Linked DNA regions of Drosophila melanogaster. The protein of the gene in region 3 interacts with the protein of the main gene of each other region in a pairwise test. Each region holds a gene or a part of one and is shown on either strand. Other genes may lie near its edges.

Region 1 (4,777 bases), on a different chromosome or scaffold from region 3:
CTGAAAGCCGCCTGCAGCTTGTGCTTGACATTTGCCTGACAATCGGCGGACACATTTTGCCACACCGTTCGCCCCTGGGCGATGCGGATTTTTCCGCTGCTTTGATTTTGAATAGCTCACTTACTTAATAAAAGCGCGAGTAAAAAACGCCCTCCCACCCCAGTCTTTGTTTTCTAGATACCCCCACAGTCTGTGCTAATGCTGTGCAAATTCAAGTTCGTATTCTTGAGGATTCCGCTTTACGACCCTCGCTCAGATCAGATCATAATACTTGGCGTGGTATAATTCACAGCTTAAAGTGGCTCATGAAAAATAAGTGAAAAGTCGGGGATTTAAATTGGCAGTTGTTGTAGAATACTCTACCAATTTATTCCGATAAATACAATCAGCATGTTACTCAAATTTCTATTTCAACAACATCTTATTAGGAGGTCTCGTTTTGAAAAAGAATTGTCTCCTGCTATTCTCGTTCATCTTGTTAAATTCCAGAAATTTATTTCGCGTGCCCCAGTAAAGCACACTTAACTTTGTGCCCCCGTCCTCGATCAAGTGTTGTTTATTACGGCTACAGTATTTTTCAGATCCTTCGACGGGGAGAGCATGCCAACGCAAATCTACCTTGAGAAAGCAACAATCAGTCCCCCAAGGCCGCAACAACAAGGCAAAAAGTTGGCAAGTAAATTTATTTATTGAGTCACTTACTTGGCAAGAAATCTCCTTGCCTTCCCAACATGGAATGCGTGTGTGTTTGGCTTGAATTTATGTGTGTTTTGGCTGCCGACTTTCACTTGGCTTTCCACACATTCGCCTGGTAATTGTATTAAATTTCAATTAATATAATATGTGCCTAGGGTGCGGAGGAGTTCATTTGAAAAGTATTTGGTTTATGAAGCTTATCATTTTCATAACTTCTCGAGTTCAATTTGCGGAATGGCTTAATATAAATTTTATGATATGCTATCAAACATTCTGTTTTCAAATCAAAAGCATAATACATCATTTCACAACAAATACAACAAATACAAATAATACAACAAATCACTACCATACAAAATTAATCTAGTCATCTGTTTCTATATTTTGAGTATTAAGTTGCTTATTTAATCGAGTATTTCAATGTTTTCTTACTTGATTCAAATTCTGGATGGTTATTTTTCATCGAAACGCTTCGTAAAGGTTTCTTATTTTTTACGGCCATCGAAGCGAACTTTGTCTTGGCTTTATTGTTGCTACTGTTGTTTTGGGGAATATTCCAATTTTGTTGGTCATAAATTTTAGCGAGACTGGCAAATGAAAAGCACAGCGTAAAAGAAAATATTTAAATTTCCTCGGTTTCCCAATTTTTTTTTTTGTACATTTTTGGCAGCCCTTTTTTCCAGTTCGGTTGAAGGGAGCGGGAGTTCTGTGAGAAAAAATCTGCTTAAATGTACTTCCGTCATAAAATAACGGTAATGCACAGCAATGTGCGTCTGTGGGTGTGGGCATGTATGTTGTGTGTGTGTGTGTGTTGGTGTGTTTGTGTGTGCATGGCTCACGTAGCAGGACGAGCAAGAAAAACCTTTTTATAAATGTTGGTTCGCAGCTTCCGCAAAATAATAAAACAAAAAGGCAGCTGCCAGGACATCCCCCGTCCAAAGGCAACTGGAAAGAATGCTTTTAAATTTGACACACACACCGCACACACACACACACAAGCACGCACTTGGCGAAAAAAAAAATTAATAAATTTTGTGCAACAAAGTTGCCTCTAAGGCACCGATTCGCAACCGACCATGAACCCACTTCCCCGCGTTGCTCACTTCGGTTTCAATTTTTTTGTTCTGTTTTTATCCTTTTTTGTGTTCTCTGTTTGTTTTGATGGCCCAAAACTCGGTGCGGCAACATTTGTTTGAAGTTTATTTTGCATATGTTTATTTTTGTTTACGCAATGTTATTCCCCTTTGTATTATGTCCTTTTTTTCTGTTTGCTGCAGTGTCAATTGTCGCATTGGCATGCGAAACTTTTTTTCGATGGGTAATTTAAAAAAATATACCGCATTTTTATTTTTATCAAGAGAAATACATCATTTACCGCAATATAATAACAAAAGAAACTATTTATCTCATACTCTACTCATACCACCACAAACTTGGCTAAAAAAAAAATTAAATGCCTCACATTAATGCAAATATTTAACACTTAACACTCCCATTAACTTTTAATTGGAAGCTTATCGCTTTAATATGGTAGCTTTTAAAACAATAAAACAATGACGTTCGTTTAAAATTACTTCCACACTTGTGCTTCAAATTTTTTTAGGGTTATATATTACCTATTAATCGATGCTTGCTCAATGCACGAACTAATTAAAATTGTCCAACGTAGAAACAAATAATCAGCACAAAATTCGTTCAACTAAAAACAATAGATATTTGCTAGTGCATTGAACCTCCATTTTTGCCACATTATGTAGATTTATTTGAAGCCAATGGCACAAACGTCAAAATAAACGCATTAACACTGCGGTCAGTGTTGATTAAACTTGTATTTTTAGCAATATTATAATAAAATATTCAACAATAAGTATACCATTTGACATACCTTAAATTAGCCGGACTTTCTGCCCACACTTTTGATTTATCGAGGGGGTTCAGAGACCCCTGGCAGTGGCAATTGACCACTTCACTGGCTGCTCGTGTATTTGTTTTTCTACTTCTAGGTACTTTTTTTTATTATTTTCCTTGTAGATACGCCCGCAACACACGTCAATTAACCTACTTTCGTGCTGGCAGGAGGGCTGGGCAAAAAACCCCAAACATAATATAACCACTAGAACAATACTCGCAATACAACGAATGGGCCAAGTTAATTTGCTTAGACTTTTGTTTTGGTTTCTATCTTTTTTTATTCGCCTTTTGTCGTTTCGATTGCTCAAAGTATTTCCGGCAACACACGTACACACACCCACGAGGGACACTTTAGCCGGCTTTTTTGCCTTCTTGCGCCAAAATCCAATAAAACAGTCTTAGAAGACCAGGTGATATCGCTCATACGACGCGTGTGCCGTGCAGCACGAACGAGTGACAAAAACGAACTGAAACTGAGGACGGAGGACTGAATTCAAATCGGAGTCCAAGTTGGCTGACCAACTGCGCATGCGTCACTTTTAGTCAATGAAAAGCTTCGTGCCACAAGACATTTGCCGCCAACAGGACTCCGAAAATGGCACTCGTTTTCGGAGTAGTCTGTTGCTGATGTTGCTTTTGGTGTTGCTGTTATTGCTGTTGCTTTAGGTGTTGCTGCTGTTCCTGTGGTTGTTGTCGTTGTCAGCGGCAACATAATCATCGGCGCGTGTTGCTCACTTTGTTGGCAGACGACTCGCAAACCGAAAACACAGCCAACAGAACGCACAACAGCAATCCTGGCGCACAATTCGCGCAACGTCATGTCAACGAGACAGTCGAGACAAATGCCACAGATCCCCTGCCAAAAGGACACCCCTCTTCGAATCCTTGAACCATTTTCAGGCCCACCCATTGTCAATTGTCTTGTGGGCTTAATGCTTCTTTGCCTCTGTGTTTTCCCTTTTATTTCAGCGCTGTCTGTTTAATTTCTTTTATCAACAAGCCGAGGTCTGCAGGCTTCCATCCTTCGTGTCCTTCGTGATATCCTCTTGTTGCGTCGCCCACACTCAATTGCTTATCAACTATCGGTGCATGCAGACGGCCTTTTGTAATCGCCAGCTTATTTGATTTATTGCCCTCGCTTTTGATTACAAATACATATGTGCTTAAGTTAATTGAGACTATACCACTTTTAAATTTTTGCTTCTTTTCTGCTTACTTTTTCATTGGCCAACATTATGTTCAAGGAACTATTGCATATTATAGATAATAGGGCGAATGGTTCACTGAAACATGCTCTTAAACCTCGCTGACCTCTCGCAATGGTCTTAAGCTTCGTATCTGGTCAGGTAAAGCCCTTGTAATCGCCTGTTAACTTGACATGACGATGCTTAACTGATTTATCTGTCTCATGGCTAAGACCCGGGCATTGATAGACATGATGGATGGACGAATCGATGAATGGACGTGGTCGAGGAGGGACAGGAAGTGAATTCTTGGTCCGATGAAAGATTGGCGAAGCTTTTTGCTACTTTCCAAATTAAACCGCTTAGTCGAGCGTTTAAATTTAATGCATTTGAGCTGCTTAGCCTCGTCTGCAGTTTATGTTTTTAGTCTATTTGCACACCATCCGACTGCACTTTATCGGCATCTTTACTTAGCCAAATTGCATCTTGGCCTGGTCCAGTGTACAGACTTCAATACTCTCGCATAAATTGCGGTTCTTTGTGTACAGCATTTGTGATTTAACAAGCAGGGTAAATAAATTATGCAAAAATACACACCGAATCGCAAAGAATTCGCCACTTGTTGAAAGTTCCGCCCCGGTATTGGTTGAATACAGTGTATCTCTACATTACACAATGGCATTACGGCTGATTATACTCGTGTAAGACTCGTTATTTATTATGAAAATCTGCTAGCTCAGAATTTAATTTAAAAGTTTGTGGGTTTCGTCACGGCTCAGGCAAATACAATTTGCAATTTCACAAATTTTAGAAGGGAACAAATCTTAAATACGCCACAAAATATGCCATCTTCTGACCATGGAGGACCAACAGGAGCGGCAGCTTAGATGGCGAGTGGCGTTGGGAGCCGCTTAAGCCTCCGGCCGGTCCATTTTAATCCCTTTTAAATTGATATTGTAATTGGTTTTTGTATGTAGTTATGAATT
Region 2 (3,641 bases), about 11 Mb from region 3:
TTGAATACACATCTTCGACTTTTATGCATTTATTGCTGTGAAAAAATGTTAATTCTCGACGTTATATTTTTATTTGACTTTTACATATCGATCTTCTCGCCCTGAGATCTCCATCTCCATTCGACCATACATAGTTGGCTCTTGGCCATCCTTATGGCCATATATTGGACTGACTGAATTGGTTGATTCGCCTCGTACTGGTCTACTGTGTATTAATTGGTCAAAGGCAGTAAAACAGAAAGTAAACGTTATAAATCAATCGTGGTATGAGTTCTTTTGAACTCTTCAAGCGGCAAAATTCACAGGGAACTGAAATGATTGTATTAACAAATAAGTCAAAGGAACGATGCTAGTAAGCTAAAATCGATGCGAGTAATTTGTGTTTATTCTAACTTAATTTATTTATAGACTTATAGATTAAATCACCATAAGTTGCATCCGAAAGAATCGCATCTCAAAGTAATAAAAACTAACGATATTTTTATCAACTCGACGCCATAAATATGCCCGTTGCGATATTCTTATTGTAAATTCTCGAATTGTCTGCTGATTAAATTTACTTATCATTTTGTCAGTTTCTTAATATAGAATTCATTCATTAAAAATAGGGCTGATCTTTTAAATTATCTAATACGTTTTTGTATCAATACTATAGCTATACATGCTATAAACTATTTGACTTTGTATTGCAATGCTCATCCATACCAATATTAAAATGATTAAAGTTGTAAATTACAAAGCAGGAATGTAGTTCGCTTTTTTCGCACTGTAAAATTCAGTAAATGGGCATAAATCATAATTTACGTACTACCTTTTAGTCTAAAGTGAAGGTGAAGATCCATCCATCCGGTTGATGTTTCCATTTGGATTTTCAAGTTCAGATTGGATAGGATCGGATCGGTTGGCCGGAGACAGTTTGGGCTATTGTGTGCGGGAGTTTGATTAACACAACATCCACTGGCCGAATCTTTATTAGTGACCATGCACTAATTAAGCCCTGTCGTGTGATTTGGTCTCCTCGCATTCGCATTCGTTCGCGTTTGTCACTCGATGCAAATGAATCGCGTCTCTGTGGAGCAGAAGATCATAAAAGCCGCTAAAAGGTGTGGGTGAAAAGAAAAACAAAACCCCGGCCAGCCAGCCAGCGGATTCAGTTCTTTTGTTGATCGAATTGATTAGAGCTGCGGCCGAGATCGATACGTTTGTATATTTCGGATGTGCGTTGCTGGCCAGCGAGGGTGTAATTAATCACAACACTCAAGTTCGTCACTTGACCGAAGTGTTAAGTGCGCTAATAACGCCAATTTGCATAGACCGACTTTTACCCATCAACACGATTACAATTAAAGTGTATTTCAAATAGTGCTGCGTTGTTGCTATATATATAGAAATATTTTGTTTAAATAATCAAATTGGATTGGAAAATTTGGAGTTCATAATTTCAAATCGAAATTCACTTGTCGGACATGCCGCATTTTTGTACCCTGCAATGGTTTGAAACCGAGCTAAAATTTATGTGGGTCAAAATGGATTGAATCCATGTTAGCATTGTCTGGAGCTGCCATCCTGATTTCTACACATGTAAAGAGTTGCCAGTCTGGTTTCTACACTACTGGATTCTATTCTAGTCGATAAGTTGCTTTCTATTCGATTATCTTGTCAATTATCGTCGATATCGAGTAGGCATCGACACAAGTACCAGCTCTAATTCGCACGGAATTTGTTTGTCATTCAAGAAACAATTATAATTCGCCGCATTTTTATTCTAAAAGCGCTTACGAATATGGTAAGTACCTCGCCGAGTGCATTTAGTAGAGCCGCTAACGAAACGAAAACCCCTCGCAATACAGTATCAGCCATCACTGAAAGTCCAGCCCGCCGAGGTGTCCGTGCTGAACGCCACCGGCCGTGTGGGAATGCCCACCGAGGCCAACTGCCTGAACCAACTGGCCCACGTCCACCGGCTGCGCGACTCGGAGCTGAACTACAACGAGCACCAGTACAACCGCAACATGCAGATGCTGCGCAACCACGAGGGCCTCGGCGTGCCCCTCAAGATGGGCATGGAGCGCTTCGCCGCACGTCAGGTGGGCCGCCTGCCCTTCCTTTCGTCCAGGTGAGCATCTAGCCCGGTCTGGGAGCTTCTCAGTCTGGACAGGAATCTCTGCAAGGGCGGAAGCATTCAGAAATCTTCTGTTTCCACATTATAAGAATCCCGGAGAAACCTGAGATATCCTACAATCTAGAAAATCTAAACTTCTTGCCTAATAATGGATACCTATATACGTACATACATACATACGTGTATACCAAGTATACCTGTGATTCCCATAGTACCATTATTACCGAAAACCCAGCAATGACTACTTATCTTCTATATTAATTCTTTCCTTTATATTGCAGCAACTTCATGGACGATGTCCTGACTGGCCGCTGTGATTCCATTGGCTTCGAGGACTTCATGAACTTGCCCGAGAACAGCGAGCATATGCGTCAGCCCCACGCTGTGGTGGAGAAATCTCTGGGAATTTACCAATAAGTCCCTGCAAATGAAGTTGCTAAATGCCTGGCATTCAGCCTTTAAACTCTAAGACACTCTTAAGATCAGCAAATAAAATATATTTTGGTGCGACCAGCTAGAGGTAAACAAAATTCACCATTTCTTTGAGCCAAATTTATTCGTATTTCGTTTGTTTAACTCCACATCAATACATTTAACTAGTTCGTTAAACTTACACATTTTATTCAAACAAATCTAAAAACTACACGAAAATATTGGCAGAAGGTTGTTGTACTGAGGAGATTCGTTAAAATAATAAACTGAAGAGATATGCGTTGACATCATTCATTATTTGTAAAAATAAAACAAGAGATGGTAAAATGGACGAATTCGTTTCGTAAAATTAGGCTTATACTTAAGGAAAACTGAATTGTAAACGGAGGGCGCATTTCAACTTATACAAACATTGCATATATACATGATTTATATTTAAAGAGGAAAATGACAGTAATTGAGATAAACATAGTTAATAAAACGCATTACATTCCTCAAGCAAAACACGTCTAATCAACAATAAATATTGAAATCGCTAGCGTTTTAAATGCTCTTCGCTAAATTTGTATTGTGTTGCGAGTTTAAGCTTCAATTACTGGAATTATCCCTTTAATTGTGATGATAGGCATTCGATTTTTATAGTATATATTCTTCAATATGCATAAAGGCGCAATTGCAAAGGGTCATGGGATTCTAGTAGATCCAGTTGACAGGCACCCACTGCTCCTCGTGGCTCATCTGATCCAGCGTTTCCACCACCTGGCGGAACGTCTCATCGAAGTCCTCGTTCACGATGACCATGTCGAAGTATTTCTCATACTTGCGCTGGACGAAGCTGCTCTCCTCGACGGTGGCGACAAGGTCGTCGTCCTGTTCGGAAAAGTCATAGAAAGCGAATGTGTTAAGCAATGTTTGGGTATTCAGGCAGAGATCTAACAGGGCTACTAGGGTGGCCTAGGTGCGCCAAGCGGATGATTGAGTTGAGCACAATTTATACGACACTGTAATTAAGGATAGGTCAGGGCACATTACCTCATACAACGACGCTAGGGACTCGAGCGTACGGGCGCGTCTGGAGCTGAATCTT
Region 3 (5,527 bases):
TGCTCCTCTCGCTCTGCCCGTTGCTGCGCCGGTGGTGAAGACCCTGGCTGCTGCTCCCGTGGTCGCTGCTCCAGTGGTCAAGACTGTGGCTGCTGCTCCCGCTGTACTGAAACAGGTAGAGTTGGAATCTTCGCCGCGCTACGACTTCTCCTACGGCGTTCACGACAGCATCACCGGCGATATCAAAAGCCAGGTGGAGACCCGTGACGGTGGCAATGTTGTGGGATCCTATTCCGTCCTGGATGCCGATGGTTTCAAGCGCACAGTGACCTACACCGCCGACGACATCAACGGATTCAATGCGGTGGTCCAGCGGGAACCGGTTGTCGCTGCCCGCGCAGTTGCTGCTCCAGTGGTTTCCGTCTCCGCTCCAGCTCCAGTTCCCGTCCATATTTCCTCCGCTCCCGTTGCCTCGCTGCCCGCTCCCATCTACTATCCACACCAGCAGGTGTTCGCCCCACAGCAGATTCAACAGGTTGCCGAGCAGCAGGGTGAGGTGGTGGAGTCTCCTGTGGCCCAACAGCCCGAGCTGGAACCCACTCCCATTGACTACAACGAGGGTCAGCAGCAGCAGCAGGAGCAGCAGCAGCAAACCTATCCCCAGGATCAGCAGTTCCCACCCTACTCGCCAGCTGGTCAATCCTCCCCAGCTCCTGACAGCGATGATTCCGACGTGGTGGAGGCACGATCTGCCCCGGAGGCCAGCAGCACCACCACCACCGCTGCTCCAGTTACGGAGGAGAACAAGAAGACGGCCTAGATTGGATTATGAACGGAAATATTGTTGAAATTAATAAGGAAATGAATAAAATACTTCGAGAATACATAAAAAATTGTCTACTAATTCAAATTAAATGTAGTTTAGTTACATTTATAAGCTGATAATTCAAAAGCTTAAATGCGGCGATTTTAATAATTAATTTACCACATTAATTTAGCGGATTACTTCTCAAAGAATCGAAAAACAAACAATTGAAAAAGGGACTAAATCGATTGGCAGCAATCATCTCTAAAAAAAATTTTGTTTATTTCTGACAACCGCATATAAACAAAATGAAAAGAGCATTAACCGGAAATATCTGCGCATTTATTGCATTATTACTGATAATCGAGAGATTAAATGGTATTAGTGCAATGATAACATATTTGCAAGCAAAAAAAAAGAGACAATCAAATTTTATATTTAAAGGTAGACAGATAAAATCAGTACCTTTTATTATCCAATTAAATATTGATTTAGGTGGCTATTTTTTGTCTTATTAAATATGGATAGAGCTTTACATTTTAACACATATTCGTTGAATAAATTAACAACAAAGATTGAACATAAATATTTATGGAAATTGTAATTGAAGCTTTTAAACGTATAGCCTTAATATTAAACATTATTAATATTATATTATTTTAAGATGAAGGTTTTCCTTACAAAAGTAAAGACGAGAAAGTAAAACATAAACATTTGTCATAAACATTTAAATGAGCCCGCGTGGTGTGCAGATTCAGCCGACTTCTATTCAGCTGTTGGCTGAATTTGGCTTGCATGCGCACACGTTCCACGTTCCACAACAACATATTGAAATCCAAAAGCTGCTTCACCACTTGGCAAGCGATCGTTAACAAGTTACACCAGAAATTTATATATACTAAAAAAATAATAAGTTACTTAAAAATTTAGTAATAATTATGTGGATATAAAAAATGTACATTATTTTTCTCTACGCGCCGTTGTCCGAAGTTAACAGCAAGATAACATGCGATATTAGGCACCTACGTTCACACTGGCATCAAATTTCGATAACTGACAAAGATCGATAGCCATCTGCGTTTCGTTCGCCACTAAGGCTTGCTTTTCAAATCAAACGGTAAATTCTGGCGGCGCCAAGCAGGCATTGACTCCAATTTCGCATCGATTACGAGAGTACTGTCTACGTTTGTCTACAGTTTCACCGACACATTCAGCGTGCTAACACGCTCGACAAATTCTCGTGCTCGCGTTTCGTTAGGGAACGATAAAAATTGTGTAAAAATTCAGTAAAGTGAATTTCCATTCGAAAAAGCCAGCACACGCATTCAAAAGGGCAAAGGTACAAAGGTAAGTGCGTGTGTACTCTTTTCTTCCTTTTCGCGGTTTTTCCCACTGCTTTTTACTAGCGTTCATCAATTTGACCGCCTCTTCGTGATCTCCTCTTCTCGTTCCCCTCTTTCCGCGAATCGGCAAATGGCGGCTGCTGCAGCTGTTGCCAACCAAAGGCGTAGTTCTTAACTCGCGGGGGCTTGAGCGATTGGGTGCCCCGTTAAAAATAATCTTGTAAATTAGTTGGCTTATGTTGGCTAACACATAGGAATAACATATCGAGTTGCTGGCCACAAAGAAAACCCCTTTTTTGAACTCATGGTTACGCCCCTGTTGCACGCCGAAAGGAATATAAAAGACAGAGATAAAAAAAAAGAACCCAAGCAGCCCTTGATTCTGCTTCTTCCTGACATTGACTCACATTTTCCTTTTCAGTTTCACACATTTCATCGCAGCAGCAAACATCTAAACTTTTAAAGAAAAAACACAAAACTCAAAAAAAAAAAAAAAATGAGTAAGGCGGATTCTAACTCACGACAGGGCTCCTACAAGGCCAACAGCATTAACACGCAGGTAATGTACACAAGATCCTCCGCAGAACTGCGTTCGGAACTAACCTCACTTTTTGCCCTAGGACTCACGCATGCGCCGCCATGAGGTGACCATCGAGCTGCGCAAGTCCAAAAAGGAGGACCAGATGTTCAAGCGGCGCAACATCAACGACGAGGATCTAACGTCGCCGCTCAAAGAGCTCAATGGCCAGTCGCCGGTGCAGCTGTCCGTGGACGAGATAGTGGCGGCCATGAACAGCGAGGATCAGGAGCGCCAGTTTCTGGGCATGCAGTCTGCCCGCAAGATGCTCAGTCGGGAGCGCAATCCACCCATCGACCTGATGATCGGCCATGGTATTGTGCCCATTTGCATACGCTTCCTGCAGAATACCAACAAGTGAGTAGTGGCTTTAGAATGTTGATGAGAGCATTATTGAATATCCCCTGATTCGCCGCTACAGCTCAATGCTGCAGTTCGAGGCCGCTTGGGCGCTTACCAACATCGCCTCTGGCACATCCGACCAAACGCGCTGCGTTATCGAACACAATGCTGTGCCGCATTTCGTGGCTCTGCTCCAGTCCAAGTCCATGAACCTGGCCGAGCAGGCAGTCTGGGCTCTGGGCAACATTGCCGGCGACGGAGCCGCCGCCCGCGACATTGTCATCCACCACAACGTAATTGACGGAATCTTGCCACTGATCAACAATGAGACACCGCTCTCTTTTCTGCGCAACATCGTCTGGCTGATGTCCAACCTGTGCCGGAACAAGAATCCATCGCCGCCATTCGATCAGGTGAAGCGGCTGTTGCCCGTCCTGTCGCAGCTTCTGCTTAGTCAGGACATCCAAGTGCTGGCCGACGCCTGCTGGGCTTTGTCCTACGTCACGGACGACGATAACACCAAGATCCAGGCTGTGGTCGACTCGGACGCAGTGCCGCGCCTGGTCAAACTGCTGCAAATGGACGAGCCGAGCATTATTGTGCCCGCCCTGCGCAGCGTTGGCAACATTGTGACTGGCACAGATCAACAGGTAGGAAAACAAATGATTTTAATCCTTATTGTTATAACATGCCTGACCGACCTGTTTTTTTTTTTTTTTTTTATTAGACTGACGTTGTAATTGCATCTGGAGGTTTACCAAGGCTGGGACTCCTTCTACAGCACAACAAAAGCAACATTGTGAAGGAGGCTGCCTGGACGGTCAGCAACATCACAGCAGGTAACCAGAAGCAGATCCAGGCTGTGATTCAGGCCGGCATCTTCCAGCAGCTGCGCACCGTGCTGGAGAAGGGTGATTTCAAGGCTCAAAAAGAGGCTGCCTGGGCGGTGACAAACACCACGACATCTGGCACTCCCGAACAGATCGTCGATCTAATTGAGAAGTACAAAATATTGAAGCCTTTTATCGATTTGCTGGACACAAAGGATCCGCGTACCATCAAGGTGGTGCAGACGGGCCTATCCAATCTGTTTGCCCTGGCGGAGAAACTTGGTGGCACCGAGAACCTATGCTTGATGGTCGAGGAGATGGGCGGTCTAGACAAGCTGGAAACTCTGCAGCAGCACGAGAACGAGGAGGTCTACAAGAAGGCCTACGCCATCATTGACACATACTTCAGCAACGGCGACGACGAGGCCGAGCAAGAGCTCGCACCTCAGGAGGTCAACGGAGCCCTCGAGTTCAATGCCACCCAGCCCAAGGCTCCCGAAGGTGGCTACACGTTCTAATCGCCCACCCCACACATTCCAAACTCCGCTCACACGCCTTACAAACAACTACACCTTCGACCGCGCTCACACACTATGCCATTGTCAAACATACGCATACTCATCATCACATCTTACAAACATTCCCAAACACTTTGGAGGTATGCATGGAAACACAGGCGAATGCATTAGCTTAAAGTCATAATTGAATCGGGTTGGCAAAATCCACTCGCATGAATCCCCATTTAACATACCCGTATTCCTCGCGTTAGACTAGACTTCACAGATTGCAGCATGGATCTTTCTGGCAGTGTTCCTCGTTCACGATGCAACCGCTCGGGCAGCTGCGCTGGCTGGGATCCGTGGATCATAGTATTTCCAGAATCCGTCTGTACAGGGGGCACCTTATGTTTGCGTGTACTAGGCTTTTTATTGGATACGTTTCGAGCTCATTTCGGATATATTTTAGGCTGTTTAGTATTTATTTATGTATACAGGAAACGCTTTTAATCCTCCACCTTCGCGCAAGCATTACAACAACAACAACAACAACAACAACTCATTCCCTTCACACCAGTGTCCTCATTCCCGAATCGCATGTTTATATTCAAAGTTGTCAATAAATAATGAATTGTTTGAATGATTAATTAAATTTCATGTGTATTTAAGCTGCATTTGAGCATTGCGAAAATTGGAGCCTATTTTTGGGCCTTGGCATTTTTTTTTGTATATTATTTGGAATGCTATTGGGATATACACCGATGCAGGCAATCGAATTTAAAATGTTATCCCTTCGATGCGCTGGCGCCTTTTGTCCGTAAATCCGCGATAAAAAGTCATGCAGTCAATACATGTTTTTTTTTTTGTCTTGTACATTTAAATCGCATTTGGGCCGTAAGCGGATAGCCGGAAGATTAAGAGCTATCTACCGCAGCCACGCCCACTCGAGCAGCGGTGGACAGCGACCCCAAAAAAGTTCCAGATTAGATATAATGATTAAACAACCGACGAGTGAGTAGTGAGTAGTAGTCTACTACTGGCACAGAACGCGCACCACGCACAACTCAATCAAGATGAATCGCAGCGTTCGTGGTTATTGCAGTGATCCAGAGGGTAAGCTTAATCAGTGGAGCGACGACGTCACATCAACAACCATGTCCACGTACGATCTTGTTCCCATCGGATGCAGTGCG

Evidence for each region. Proteins that work in one complex are often made in the same cells at the same time.
Region 1: the proteins of Pen (region 3) and Ccn interact in a two-hybrid assay, tested with the Drosophila melanogaster proteins (one large-scale study listed by BioGRID).
Region 2: the proteins of Pen (region 3) and Pomp interact in a two-hybrid assay, tested with the Drosophila melanogaster proteins (one large-scale study listed by BioGRID).

Annotation. Positions count from the first base shown.
Region 1 is NT_037436.4:17,688,280-17,693,056, reverse strand, and holds the start of Ccn (Ccn), read right to left. Parts: upstream 3,043-4,777; 5' UTR 2,582-3,042; intron 1-2,581.
Region 2 is NT_033779.5:20,786,000-20,789,640, forward strand, and holds Pomp (pomp), read left to right. Parts: upstream 1-1,656; 5' UTR 1,657-1,783; coding exon 1,784-1,786; intron 1,787-1,850; coding exon 1,851-2,116; intron 2,117-2,403; coding exon 2,404-2,539; 3' UTR 2,540-3,099; downstream 3,100-3,641. Other genes in the region: vari (varicose), read right to left, coding at 3,248-3,424, 3,587-3,641.
Region 3 is NT_033779.5:10,055,113-10,060,639, forward strand, and holds Pen (pendulin), read left to right. Parts: upstream 1-1,787; 5' UTR 1,788-2,092; intron 2,093-2,509; 5' UTR 2,510-2,584; coding exon 2,585-2,647; intron 2,648-2,708; coding exon 2,709-3,022; intron 3,023-3,086; coding exon 3,087-3,657; intron 3,658-3,734; coding exon 3,735-4,355; 3' UTR 4,356-4,983; downstream 4,984-5,527. Other genes in the region: Cpr31A (cuticular protein 31A), read left to right, coding at 1-760. UniProt on the Drosophila melanogaster protein: Binds specifically and directly to substrates containing either a simple or bipartite NLS motif. Promotes docking of import substrates to the nuclear envelope. Seems to act as a cytosolic receptor for both simple and bipartite NLS motifs.